3 linked regions of the Macaca mulatta genome follow. The protein of the gene in region 2 binds, or shares a complex with, the protein of the main gene of each other region. Links are inferred from orthologs where the notes say so. Each region holds a gene or a part of one and is shown on either strand. Other genes may lie near its edges.

Region 1 (4,508 bases), on a different chromosome or scaffold from region 2:
GTTGCCCAGACTGGTCTCCAACTCCTGAGCTCTCGTGATCCGCCCGCCTTGGGTGCCCAAAGTGCTAGGGCTACAGGTGTGAGCCGGGCAGGAGAGTAACTTCACTTTGGTTTCCTCCTGCCTTAAATAGGCATACCACCTAGCATTAGGATGAATGTGCGTAAAGCATTTAGAACTCAGCCTAGGTGAGTTCTCCTTAACTCAGCCTAGAAGAGATCATCTGCCTGAGGATGAGGGGCTAGAGCCGCCCTGTGACTTGGGAAAGGAGGCCCCTTTTCAGCCTTGCTAGGTATCCTGGACCCCAACCCACTCACTCACCCACCCAACCCCAGCAAGTGGGGAGAGGGAGAGCAGTTCTGGTCTCATCTGTCTGGGCTGTTTAGGAGTGAGACAACACAAGGCAGGCAGTTCTCAGAGAATTCCCCTCCAAGGCCTGCCGGCTCTTTCTTGGCACTTTGCTTGGCAGATTTCTTTCTGTAAGTGCTTGTTTCTCACAGTCTTTCTCCTTTTTGTCCAGTTTTTCTTTTTAATTTTTTTAAATAGTATTTTTTGTAGAGATGGGATCTCACTGTTGCCCAGGCTGATCTTGAACTCCTGATCTCAGGTACTCCACCTGCCTCACCCTCTCAAAGTACTGGGATTGGCCGGGCTTGCTGGTTCGCACCTGTAATTCCAGCTCTTTGGGAGGCCGAGGTGGGAGGATCCCTTCAGTCTCGGAGGCGGAGGCGAAGATCACCCTGGGCAACATAGGGAAACCCCGTCTCTCAAAAAAATAATAATGAAGAAAAGAAAGAAAGAAAGAAAAACACAAAAAGTGCTGGGATCACAGGCGTAAACCACTTGCGCTCAGCCCCTTTCTGTTTCTTTTTGTGATCCTCCCAACCCTCTTCTCCCTCTGAATCTGTCTCTGGGACTGTCTCTGTCTCCCCACCGTCCCTCCCCTGCTCACCCTATCTCTCCCTGTATGTGTCTCTCGGTGTGTGTGTGTCTCTGTTTTTCTCTCTGCCTCTCTCCCTGTCTGTCTGTACCCCTCTGCGTGTCTCTCCCCGCCCCCGTCCGTCTGTGTCGCACGCGCACCCCCATCGGGCCTCTGCCCTTGTCAATTGCCCCTGAAGCCCTGCCCCCACCTCCGCCCCAGTTTCCTTCTACACGCCTCAGTCTCCAGCTTTGAAAACTGGGCAGGCGCCCCCCCGATCCGCACCCCCACCCCGACCCCCACCCTTTCCCCACGCACTCCCCGCCCGGTCGCGGCTGTCCACCGGCCAAGCTCAGGCGCGTCCTGGCCCAGGGCCGGGCGGAAGGGAACCAGTCCAGGGCCAGCCGGGCTGCGCCCGGGGCGCGCGTCCGGGAAGCGCCCCTCCTGCCCCGCCCCTGGCCCAGGCCCCGCCCCGTGCTTGCTGTTTAAGTAGCCGGCTCTCCCTGCCAGCCTCAGCCTGACTTCAGCGCTCCGACTCTCGGCCGACTCCCCTCTAATGGCCAACCGCTACACCATGGATCTCACTGCCATCTACGAGGTGAGTCCCCACCGCACGGCACCCCCGGTACCTGCACACTTGACTCCCCAGCTCTCTAGCGCCGCAAACTCCATCCCGGGACGCTTGCCTCTCTTCTCCAACTGGGGCTTCCTAGCGCCCTGCCCTCCAGCCTGGGGCCCCTGCCTCCCGCTCAGACCAGCTTGGTGATTTGGAGGTGAAAATGGAGCCCACGACTCCCGGCTCTTGGCCCAAACATGGGTGGGGCGGCCCGTGCGAGTGGAAAGTCGGAGAACTTTTCTCAGACCTAGGCTGCCTGGAGGCGGAAGTGGCCCCCACACCTGGCTCACCCCTAGTCGTTGCTGAGGGCGTGGTTTTGCGCGGAGGCGTCTCTGGGGCTGAAGTCTCAGGGTTGGGGGGATCCGACTTCTGTGTCTCCAGTCCCTGACCGTAGTTCTCTGAGAACCCTAAAACCGAAGCCATCCGGACTCCTGGGTCAACTTTGCCCGGTTCCTCCAGTTGTGAAACTGGAGATCCTGACGCGTGGGTCATATCTGGGGAGGGCAAGAGACCCAAAATTGGGAAAAAGTGGTGTGCCCTGACTTCGGGGCCCCCTCTTGGTCCAGCCGGGAAAGCCGGGATTCCTGGGTCCCTCGGGATAAGGCCTCGGTCGTGGGTAAACTCAGAACCTCCAAATCTGGGTTCCTGGCATCCGGAACCCAGGGGTTTTTGCAGGCGGGTGGGGCTCAGGCCAGGAGCCCACAAACCGGCCTGGCAAGCTCTAGTTCCCTGCAGCTGGGGTGGGGCGTCGCCCTGCATTTTCGGGTACCTTAACCGACCCATTTCCGCAGAGCCTCCTGTCGCTGAGCCCTGACGTGCCGGTGCCATCCGACCATGGAGGGACTGAGTCCAGCCCAGGCTGGGGCTCCTCGGGACTCTGGAGCCTGAGCCCCTCCGACTCCAGCCCGTCTGGGGTCACCTCCCGCCTGCCTGGCCGCTCCACCAGCCTGGTAGAAGGCCGCAGCTGTGGCTGGGTGCCCCCACCCCCTGGCTTCGCACCGCTGGCTCCCCGCCTGGGCCCCGAGCTGTCACCCTCACCCACTTCGCCCACTGCGACCTCCACCACCCCCTCGCGCTACAAGACTGAGCTATGTCGGACCTTCTCAGAGAGTGGACGCTGCCGCTACGGGGCCAAGTGCCAGTTTGCCCATGGCCTGGGCGAGCTGCGCCAGGCCAATCGCCACCCCAAGTACAAGACAGAACTCTGCCACAAGTTCTACCTCCAGGGCCGCTGCCCCTATGGCTCTCGCTGCCACTTCATCCACAACCCCAGCGAAGACCTGGCGGCCCCGGGCCACCCTCCTGTGCTTCGCCAGAGCATCAGCTTCTCCGGCCTGCCCTCTGGCCGCCGGACCTCACCACCACCACCAGGCCTGGTCGGCCCTTCCCTGTCCTCCAGCTCCTTCTCACCCTCCAGCTCCCCGCCACCACCTGGGGACCTTCCACTGTCACCCTCTGCCTTCTCTGCTGCCCCTGGTACCCCCGTAGCTCGAAGAGACCCCAGCCCACTCTGTTGCCCCTCCTGCCGAAGGGCCACTCCTGTCAGCGTCTGGGGGCCCTTGGGTGGCCTGGTTCGGACCCCCTCTGTACAGTCCCTGGGATCCGACCCTGATGAATATGCCAGCAGCGGCAGCAGCCTGGGGGGCTCTGACTCTCCTGTCTTCGAGGCGGGGGTTTTTGCACCACCCCAGCCCGCGGCAGCCCCCCGGCGACTCCCCATCTTCAATCGCATCTCTGTGTCTGAGTGACAAGTGACTGCCCGGTCAGATCAGCTGGATCTCAGCGGGGAGCCACGTCTGTTGCACTGTGGTCTCTGCATGGACCCTAGGGCTATGGGGACTTGAGGGACAGTAATCAAGTAATCAAGTAACCCCCTTTTCCAGAATGCATTAACCCACTCCCCTGACCTCACACTGGGGCAGGTCCCCAAGTGTGCAAGCTCAGTATTCATGGTGGTGGGGGATAGAGTGTCTTCTGAGGTTTTTGACCAAAAAAAAAAAAAAAAAAAATGTAGCATATTTAAGGGAGGCAGTGAGCCCTCTCCCCACCTCTTCCCTGCCCAAATCTGTCTCATAGAATCTTACGTGCTGTGAATAATAGGCCTTCACTGCCCCTCCAGTGTTTATAGACCTGAGGTTCCAGTGTCTCCTGGTAACTGGAACCTCTCCTGAGGGGGAATCCTGGTGCTCAAATTACCCTCCAAAAGCAAGTAGCCAAAGCCGTTGCCAAACCCCATCCATAAATCAATGGACCCTTTATTTATGACGACTTTATTTATTCTAATATGATTTTATAGTATTTATATATATTGGGTCGTCTGCTTCCCTTGTATTTTTCTTTCTCTTTTTTTGTAATATTGGAAACGACGGTATAATTATAAGTAGACTATAATATATTTAGTAATATATATTGTTACCTTAAAAGTCTATTTTTGTGTTTTGGGGCATTTTTAAATAAACAATCTGAGTGTAAGCTGGGATCCTGGCTTCTTCGCGGTCTAGAGACAGGAATGGGGAGGTAGAGGGTGACTTTTTGGAAGCTGGGTGCAGTCAACTCTGCTTCTCCGAGCCTCGCGGCGCTTACCTGGCAGGAAGTGACGTCACCGGGCCTGGCAGTTCACCTGAAAGGGTGGGACCAGGTGAGGTCACCAGATGGGAACCGGGGGAGCCAGTTCCCGGGCGTCGGGGGCGCTGCGCTCCCGTCCTGCCGGGCTCCTTGACCTAGCTCTCGGGCGGGCGCGGGCGGGGACTGAATGTTTCCGTCCCCACGGGGCCGCGGGAGGCGGGAGGCGGGAGGGGCCGGGTGGGGAGGACGGAATGTGCCGGGGCGCGGGCCCAGAGCGAGCGGGGGCGGGGGCGGGGGCGGGCGCGGGGCGGGGCAGCCTGGGGTAGCGGAACGCGTTCGGGACTAGGGGTTCCGGGGGGGCTTCGACACCTTCTGGATGTTGGGGAAGCGGGTTTTAGGGTCTCAAGAGTT
Region 2 (4,588 bases):
CGAGACCATCCTGGCCAACATGGTGAAACCCCATCTCTATTAAAATACAAAAATCAGCTGGGCATGGTGGCGGGCGCCAGTAGTCCCAGCTACTCAGGGGGCCAAGTCAGGAGAATTGCTTGAACCCTGGAGGCAGAGGTTGCAGTGAACCGAGATTGCGCACCACTGCACTCCAGCCTAGCGACAGAGCGAGGCTCCATCTTAAAAAAAAAGTTTATCATAAACAGATCAGAATCTATCCAAAAACATACTCAGAAAAAGTAAAATGCAACATAATTTGAAATCAGACTTTAAAGCATGTTTTGAAAAGATGGCAAGCATTTCCATTTGTTTTCATAGTTTTTTTTAATGACTTGACTCCAAATAAGGATGTCTTATTACTTAGCTTGACAACATTTATATATATATATATTTTTTTTTTTTTTTTTGAGACGGAGTCTCGCTCTGTCGCCCAGGCTGGAGTGCAGTGGCCGGATCTCAGCTCACTGCAAGCTCCGCTTCCCGGGTTCCCGCCATTCTCCTGCCTCAGCCTCCCGAGTAGCTGGGACCACAGGCGCCGCCACCTCGCCCGGCTAATTTTTTGTGTTTTTAGTAGAGACGGGGTTTCGCCGTGTTAGCCAGGATGGTCTCGATCTCCTGACCTTGTGATCCGCCCGTCTCGGCCTCCCAAAGTGCTGGGATTACAGGCTTGAGCCACCGCGCCCGGCCGACAACATTTATATTAAAGAGACTAGGATCTAAACCCCCAGGAGAAATTTAGAAACCAGAAAAAAAGAAAATGAACCCAGGGTGGTAAGCTGGGAACCAAAAAGAACGTATTTCAATTCTTTTCCACCATAATGCCACAAAACTGTACCTTAAAACTTCTAAGATTACAATCTTAGGTAAGAAAAGGAAATATTTTCAGTTACAAATAGACACGTCTTTGTGCCTTGATTCTAGACTTTTTTTTTTTTTTTTTTTGAGACAAAGTCTCCCTGTCCCCCAGGCTGGAGTGCAGTGGCTCTGTCTCGGCTCACTGCAACCTCCACCTCCCGGGTTCAAGCGATTCTCCCGCCTCAGCCTCCCAAGTAGCTGGGATTACAGGCACCTGCCACCACACCTGACTAATTTTTGTATTTCTAGTAGAGACGAGGTTTCACCATGTTGGCCAGGCTGGTCTCGAACTCCTGACCTCTGGTGATTCACCCACCTCGGCCTCCATAAGTACTGGGACTACAGGCGTGAACCATCGCACCCAGTCGATTCTAGACTTGTTTCCACTATGACTTGGGGGACTCACACTTGTTGAAAAGGGATCAACTGCCCAAACTAGTTTTATCAACATGCTACCATTTCACTGAAAACACAGCTAGTCACCTAAAACCATGTATCATCAATGCACGTTCTCCTTAGACAAGGTAACAATTTGCAGTGTCCTAAGACATAATTATTTAAACTGTTACCACATGTCTTCTTAATAGCTAAAATACTCTGCTGCCAATCTCTAAAAGGGTAGGAATGCCAACCTGGACCACAGACCACTTAAGTATTAAACCCACGTACCCATACAAAAAAATTGTTCTTAATCTGTTTCATCTTCTTCCTAATATTTTACTTGCCCTCCCTCTTTGTTTTAATACATATATTCCCTATTCCTATCAAGGAGGCTGTCATAAGGAAAACTTTCGGCATTTTTTCAAACAGTATAATTATATTCACTCAATTATTGACTTTAAAAAAAACCCAAGTAGTCACAGGCGATCGAATTGTAGAGAAATCGGCAGGGTAGGTTAAGCATTGTTGCTCAGTTTTCAGGAAGAAAACAGACCTTAATTGATTAGAGTCCTAAGAAATGGGACATTTGATTGAAGTAACTTCATGGGAAAAGTTTGTCATAAAGTTTATTTTAAATACAACATTTTCAAACACACAGATGTCAAGCATTCTTTTTTAATCTACAAAGCTTACTCCTCGTGGAGTTAGTATCGGTGAGCCCTCTTGGGTAAATTCTGCAGAGGAGGTGGTACTGAAGAAGTATTATTTGTGTTTGGCCTTAAGTACCTCTACAAGATCTGCAGTGGATCTCATCAGCCTTGAGGCCTACAAGTGTTCAGCTCACTAGCAGGACACTTGTCCTGGGTGAGCAGGGCCGCCACTACTGCAGACACCGGACCGAGTAGGTGGGGGCCGACTTCAAAGAAAGTGTGAGCGCCCAGGCGCGCGAGTGGAACAAAACCTGTAGCAAGTAATAAGGAAGTGCTCGCTCCCGCCCGCCCTTCCCATCCGGGGACACCCGAAACCTGGGGGGCTTTGACAACGTGCTGGGGGCGTCAGAGGGGGAGAGTGGCAGCTCCGAGTACACGGAGAAGAACTGGAAACGTGCAAAAACTCCAAACACGGTGCCCCTCGCCCGAAGCGCTAGGCCTCGGGAGCCGATGCCCACTGCAACCATCCGGGAGCAGAGACAGACAGAGGAGTTGAGGAGCTCGTGGAGGTCTCAGGAGGGTGCAACCCGCGCGAAGCCAGGCCCAGCGACACGAACTGCCGCCACTGCCGCCCCCTGAGCCTCCAGGCCCGGGACAGAGACCACCCCGGGTCTCACCCCGAGCTCTGCTCTCCGCTCCCTGGAGCCTTCTGGCTGGCCTCTAATTTTCAGAGCGCGAAGCCTCCGAGAGCCGTGCGGAGAAGAGTCCGCCCTCTCCCGCCTCGTCCCAATTCCCCGTCCCGGCTGCCTCTCACTCCCTGGAGCTCCGGGAAACGCTTCCAGTGGCCCCAGGTCCACCCCTATTCCTCTTCCCACCGAAACTCGCGTTCCCAAGCTGTCACCGCCACCCTACCGTAGCCCCTGACGCCAGCCCGCCTCACCTCAGGCGGCTCCGGCAGCGCTGGACACAGGAAACTCCTGGGTCCCCGACTCCGGCTCTCCTCGACCCCCTCTTCGGTTAACTCCGCTTGTTTCTCTACAAAATGGCGCCGGAGGTCGCGCGCTCACGTCGCGGCCTTTCCCCTCCCCGTTCCCATTTCATCATTCGCTGCCCGCCCGAGGAGGGATGGCCCCAGTGCCAGCCAATGGCCGCGCCCCGCCTGTGGCTTCTAGCCAATCACCGACAGGTGCCCGCGGATTTAAACCAATCACACTCTATCACTTGCAGAAGTCGAGGGAGAAACCAGGCTCCTGCTAGCAACTACCAATCCGGACTCTTACTTCGCGGACTTTGGCCAATTGCCGCTCACCAGGCCCAGTGCACCAGAGTCAGAGCCCTCGCGCCTGCGCTCGAGGCGAGGGCCAATAAGGAGACGCTGGTAACTTCGATTTGGGGCTTCACGTACTTCCCACCTGCCCTCGAGGGCTGCAACCAGTGGGGCTTGGCATTGCCTTTGAGGAACAATAAATTATGGAAGGGGTCCATAACGCCTCGCCACCCTGCGCGGGAACTACTTTGAGTTACAGTGAAACAGCCTTCCTCCACTTTCCTTCCTCTTTCGAAATGTCACGATCCAGCAGACTTCGGGGATTCCCAACCGAAACATTCCCCTCCCCTAGTGTCCCTTTGGCGGGGAACGCCAGCCAGAAAGCAAGCCAGGTTGCGACTAGAGTTGGGGCGCTTTGCATCCTGGGATGTGTAGTCGCGCTCCCCTACCCCGTTCCCATCTCAGAAGTAATGCGACTTCTTCCGTCACTGGCTGCGACGTAGAAGGAGCAGTGCATGCTGGGGGATGTAGTCACCCAGGTGGCCACCTTGTCCTCGCTTGCTTCGCGTTGGTCAAGGGAACTTTGTTTTAGTTCTGCCTATTGAAGAAAGGACACCTTCCAGAGACGCCTTCCAGAGACGTAGGAGACGCAAGTTCTCTTACTGGCTTAAGTCCTAGAAGCCTTCTAAGAAAGGATACCCATGTCCTTCGCTCTCAAGAGAAAAAGCATAGAGACATATTTTGCTTTGGTTTGTTTCTTATCTATGATAGTTGGTAAGATTTTATACTCACCTGTACCCCAAAGAGAAAGGATTGGGAAGGAAGTGTTGACTGGTTAGCTGTATTACCTTTTGAAATTAAGTCCGGGCACGGTGGCTCACGCTTGTAATCCCAGCACTTTGGGAGGCTGAGGCGGGTGGATCACGAGGTCAGGAGATCGAGACCATCCTGGCTAACAACGGTGAAACCCCATCTCTACTAAAATGCAAAAAAAAAAATAGCCGGGCGTGGTGGCTCAGGCCTGTAATCCCAGCTACTTAGGAGGCGACGCAGGAGAATCGCTTGAACCCGGGAGGCGTGGCTTGCAATGAGCAGAGATCGCGCCACTGCACTCCAGCCTGAGCAACAGAACGAGACTCTATCTCAAAAAAAAAAAAAAAAAAAGGCCAAGCGCGGTAGCTCGCGCCTGTAATCCCAGCACTTTGGGAGGCCGGGCGTAGTGGCGGGCGCCTGTAGTCCCAGCTACTCGGGAGGCTGAGGCAGGAGAATGGTGTGAACCCTGGAGGGGGAGGTTGCAGTGAGCCGAGATTGTGCCACTGCACTTCAGCCTGGGCGACTGAGCAAGACTCCATCTCCAGAAAAAAAAAAAGAAAGAAAGAAAAAGAAATTCAGACCTATCCCTCTGCTCACCCCT
Region 3 (4,521 bases), on a different chromosome or scaffold from region 2:
GAGTCAAAGTAAGTAGTATCAAATATTGAAAGTAATAGTATCAATGTATTTTCTCCTAACACTCCTAACCCACACGTTTATTATAAAAATGTTTGTTGTTCTATCTCTTCCAGTAAAATACTCAAGGTAATAAAACTCTCAAATCAGACTTACACCCTCTGGAAGTCATTCTAAAGAGGTATAACCAATCTTTTAACACACCATCTTATGGTTGAAGATGTTAACATGAGAGGAGGAGAAAGCAGAAAGAGGAAGGGACTATTTGGAGAAGACGGGGAGAAAAGAAGGAAAGACACCAATGTGTTGTTCCTCCTCGAATTTTCCTGAAGTGGAAAAAAAAAAAAAAATGAAGTAGAATGTTTGATGAAATGAATAACCAAGTAAAACATTTTCTGTCTACACCAGTACCACTAGGAGTTGAAATAAATTCACACAATGTCTGCTATGTCAAAACACCTTACCTTCAAAAACATGACAGTTACCTTTTATTTTATAGTATGTTGTGTTTCTTGCTATTTCTTATTTTTGACCTTCAATGACAAATTTAAATTGGATTACAGTGATTCTTTTGTAAGGAAAAGGTAAATTTTTAAAAGAAACAACCAAGTGAAGTAGAAATTTTATTTACTTCAAATTAACTAATTACTCAAATAGAAAAGGACAATTTTTCACATTATGAAGCTACACAATTCCAAAACACACATGCAGAGGCTCTTAAGAACGAAATGTCTAGTAATTACAAAAAAAGTGAAGAGTTTACAGACATACAAAGAAATAAAGGGGAATTATTGCAAAGAAAAGTTTAATTTCACTTTGAACGACAACGATTTTTCTGGAAAGCAGATACTTCACTCCTTTAAGTTTCCACCCAAGCCACAATAATTTCAAATGGTCTTGCGGATGACCCAGCTGGTCACTCTTGTTTATGTGGAGACTGGGGGGAATGAGAGTCAGAAAAAGTGCTATAAACCTAATTTGGCTAGAGCAAGTTCACACGACACGACCGTGCTTTAAAAACTTGCTCTCCATTATGTACTTCCTTCCACCAGGTTGGGGGGGGGAAAAAAAAAGGTGAGGATGGTGAGTAAATACACCAGTGGTTTCATCAGAGGGGAACTCACTACTCAGAAGGTGACGGTGACGTGGTGCCGGTCCCTGAAGTACGCGCACAAGCTCCGGAGGTTGCGGGAGCTAAGGGAGGAAACGGGGACACGGTTAAATTCGCCCAGGTGGCGGGAGTGAGGAGGGGAGGAGTGAGGAGGCGGACGTGCGGGGGCGGGGTGTCCAACACAAACACAAACACGAACACGCTCAGCATCCCCGGGGAGGGCGGACTGAAGCCACCTCACCATTCATCGCCCCTGGACCCTGCGGTCCCCCTCGGACTTGGGGCCAGAGCCCTCTGCGAAGCAACCTGGCCCCAGGAAAACGGCAGCGGCCGCAGAAGCCCCGCTCTCTGTAACGGCCGCGGAGGAGCAGCAAGCCTCCCTGTGAGTCGATGGGAGACAAGACGGAGCAGCGGTAAGGGCGGTAGGGGAGTGAAGCGCCTCTCCCCACCTTGTTAGAAGCGCGCTGGAAGCGGCCTACCCACCCCATCGCTGCTGCTTTGCAGTCGCCGCTCCCACCTTCCGCCGCCACCCGGAGGGAAGCCGGAGCGACGGGGGTCACGGCGGCGGTCAGAGGGTAAAGGTCTTGCTCCCAGCAGCCTCCGCGGTGGATACGTCGCCATCTTGGATCCGCGGGACAAGAAAATTCATGCGGTGAGTTTTTGGCAAATTTTCGGAAGTCTGGCAGCGGGGCGCGCGGCGGGGGCGGCGGATTCGGGGCCCCCGCAAGGCGGGGGAATGCCCCGGGGCCGGTCCGGCCGCGCCCGGGGTCCGCCGGTAGCGTCCCGGCCCGCCGCTTCCCGTTGCTTTTGTCTCGGCTCCAATCGAGAGAGGGAGAGCGGAGCGGGCGGGGAGGGGGGGTGGCGGCGGTGGAGGGAGGGAGGGGGTGTGTATGGGGGTGGTGGTGGACGGGACGTAAAGCGTCGCTGTACTCGGGCCGCTGCAGCAGCAGCTCCAGATCCTAGGCCCGGTCCCATCCGCGAGTGGCGGGGCTTCCCCAGACTCCACTCCCCTAGGCTCCCGCCAGCGCGGAGGAGCCGCTACCGCCGCGCTGCTTCCTGGGGGAGAAGAGAAGGCGGCTGCGGCCGTGGCTGAGGAGCTCGAGCCCGCTTTAGACGGCTCTGCCGCCTTCCCAGCAGCTGGTGCTGTCTCTGGCTCCTTACATTCTCAATACACGTATATCATCTGCCAGTTATGTGTATTTCTGTTAGTGTGTGTGTAAGTGTCAGATGGGAGACACTGGACTGGCTAACGGGTGTCAGGAGCCTGCAGGCCCTGGGATACCGAAGGCTGTGCATGGTGGAGGGAGAAGGAATGCAACTGCGATGCTGCCTCTGCCACCGCACCAGGAAGGTGAAGCTTCCGTAGTGTCGTAGACTGAGTCCGGATGGTCCTGGGGCGGCGGAGGAACCACAGATGCTTCTGTCTGTGAAGTTACAAGCCCTGGTTTTCTACTTCCGCAGGGGCCTCTCCACCTTTTGCTGTTGTAGGTCTCACTTAAAAGTTTCACAGAAGAAAAGAGTAGGGTTAAAAGAGGCCTTTGTAGTTCTTAATTGAGGCACTGTTGTCTGTCCGGGAGAAAGCTGATGACTCTTGGTGACTGTGGTCCTTAGCAAAAGTGAATTGTAGTTTTCTTTTATACAAAGTATTTCCAAGGTTTTAGACTTTATATTTATTCCAGGCCTGTAGGTACGGTATTACCACCACTAAAGTCTTACATAAGGGTACCACCCTCTCAGAAGGAACCTAAACAACTTCCTTCGAATCCTTGGAGACATCTTCACTTTTCAACATCCGGAAGACTGAGTGCAACATATTTTGTTTCATTTTCATAAAACTCTTGGTCAGAGAATCCCACTCCTTTTAAAATCGTTTGGGCAGTTCTTCGTAATTAAGTACACTGATTTGAACCCTTAGATTCTTGGCGAAATGGTAAAAAGTACTCAAAGTCAGTTCACGAGGGAAGCCAACTTAAATTTAAGGTTCCAAAGTTGAACATACTTCATGCTTGATATTAGGAATTTTTAGAGCTCGGAATCATAAGTGTGACTCTTGATTTCCCTTTTGAAGCAAGATAAGTGGAAAGAATAAAGTATGGGGTGAGGGATGAGATAGAAATTTTAAAGTATCCATTTACATACAAGGTTTATGTTGAGTTTGGGAATGCTTGGCATAATTGACAACAGTTCTTTCCAAACGTCAATGAATATGTCTCTTATAATTTTGTAAGATTGCGAATTGAAAGGGTTAAGAATCATAGTGGGCTGAAATGGTTAAGTGTCTATATTCAGAGCCCAGTTCATTGAAATGTTTTATAATGGACCAAGATAATTAGTAAGCTCTGTATGTTGAATTTGTTTAGTTTGTAGTTCTTTTATAATGTTAAATCTAAAGAAAAAGAAATACAAAATACACTTAAAGACAAAACATGTTCCACTCTACTCACTTATTTCTTGACTTTGTAAGATCCTTATTGTAGAAAAGGTATCTTTCTCTCATATTTTCTGAGAGCTTGAATTGTAATAACTTTTGTGAATACTTTGTATTTTAGAGAGGAAGTGAGAAACTCTGCTAAAGTTTTTTTTTTTTGTATCTGAATTAGTACTTCATCAATACAAATAAGTTAATGTAAACATTTGTTGGCAGGAATCTTTTTTTAAGTATACAATGTAGAGATATCTGTAACCTAATCTGATCTCAGGGAATGAGAATTGCCTGTTTGTTTAACCAAGCAACACATACAGCCTATACAATTTTTCAGTTTCTATAATACTTTAATTTATATGGTGGAAAAGGAGGGCAAAATGCTTGTGTGTGAGTGATTTATATCCCCAAGTACCTGATCTTGAAGATAAAACTCAGAATGTGGCTTATCTTCTGATGCTGGGCAAAAAACAAAAACAAAAAAATTCAGAATGATACAACTTCCCATATACCTCCCTACAAGGACTAATTACCTTTGTTTTTCCTTTATAACTTTGGGTGTTGCACTTTTTGATTTTTCAGAGATGCTTTACAGTTATTATAACCTGAAAATTATTTGTTCAAAAGTAAATAAAATTTTCAGGTGTATGAATAGATTTTATTAGAAGTGCTTCTAACCCAGTTCTCATTTGTATTCCTTTAGTAGATACTGGTATTAAAAGTACCTATATTTTGAAAGACCATTACAGAATTTTTTACAACCTGTATAAGTTATAGTTTTATGTTTTCTAGTGACAGACTTCATAAGATTTTCTGATAATGTAAATAGAATGTATGCTTCACATGTATATGTGAAATAATGAGTAAGCATTAATAGACTAGTGAAAAACACTTAGCTTACAATTTATTTTTTTGCTCTTTAAAAGCAATGTTAAACAATAGCTGTTTTTTTGTTGTTAAAATTTGTTAAAATTTTCCTGAGATTTTAGGA

Evidence for each region.
Region 1: the proteins of CNOT1 (region 2) and ZFP36 are in contact, whole or in part, in a crystal structure (PDB 4J8S), measured with the Homo sapiens proteins. The link is inferred for Macaca mulatta from reciprocal best matches to the Homo sapiens genes CNOT1 and ZFP36. Residues at the interface, in NP_057368.3 of Homo sapiens: Gln821, Glu835, Asp845, Ala848, Asn849, Phe852, Gln853, Tyr856, Asn894, Glu897, Glu898, Phe901, Gln904, Tyr905, Pro906, Glu909; in NP_003398.3 of Homo sapiens: Arg314, Arg315, Leu316, Pro317, Ile318, Phe319, Arg321, Ile322, Ser323, Val324, Ser325.
Region 3: the proteins of CNOT1 (region 2) and CNOT2 are in contact, whole or in part, in a crystal structure (PDB 5FU7), measured with the Homo sapiens proteins. The link is inferred for Macaca mulatta from reciprocal best matches to the Homo sapiens genes CNOT1 and CNOT2. Residues at the interface, in NP_057368.3 of Homo sapiens: His1864, Ser1865, Ala1866, Ala1867, Arg1870, Asp1871, Gln1917, Pro1921, Ala1923, Pro1925, Ala2003, Tyr2036, Leu2039, Glu2040, Ser2043, Arg2045, Ile2048, Ala2049, Ala2053, His2054, Leu2079, Leu2084, Lys2086, Gln2089, Ile2090, Leu2091, Tyr2092, Lys2093, Gly2094, Leu2096; in NP_001186231.1 of Homo sapiens: Met350, Val351, Asp353, Gln354, Phe355, Gly356, Met357, Ile358, Gly359, Leu360, Leu361, Phe363, Ile364, Arg365, Gly372, Met373, Val374, Leu376, Ala377, Leu378, Gly379, Ser380, Asp381, Leu382, Leu385, Leu387, Asn388, Leu389, Ser391, Glu393.

The regions. Positions count from the first base shown.
Region 1 is NC_133424.1:50,503,582-50,508,089, forward strand, and holds ZFP36 (mRNA decay activator protein ZFP36), read left to right. Parts: upstream 1-1,430; 5' UTR 1,431-1,472; coding exon 1,473-1,514; intron 1,515-2,323; coding exon 2,324-3,280; 3' UTR 3,281-4,004; downstream 4,005-4,508. UniProt on the Homo sapiens protein: Zinc-finger RNA-binding protein that destabilizes several cytoplasmic AU-rich element (ARE)-containing mRNA transcripts by promoting their poly(A) tail removal or deadenylation, and hence provide a mechanism for attenuating protein synthesis.
Region 2 is NC_133425.1:54,241,489-54,246,076, forward strand, and holds the start of CNOT1 (CCR4-NOT transcription complex subunit 1), read right to left. Parts: upstream 2,947-4,588; 5' UTR 2,820-2,946; intron 1-2,819.
Region 3 is NC_133416.1:77,323,311-77,327,831, forward strand, and holds the start of CNOT2 (CCR4-NOT transcription complex subunit 2), read left to right. Parts: upstream 1-1,277; 5' UTR 1,278-1,349; coding exon of another isoform or gene 1,350-1,729; 5' UTR 1,730-1,760; intron 1,761-4,521. Other genes in the region: uncharacterized protein LOC144332960, read right to left, coding at 1,121-1,191, 1,350-1,488, 1,592-1,729. UniProt on the Homo sapiens protein: Component of the CCR4-NOT complex which is one of the major cellular mRNA deadenylases and is linked to various cellular processes including bulk mRNA degradation, miRNA-mediated repression, translational repression during translational initiation and general transcription regulation.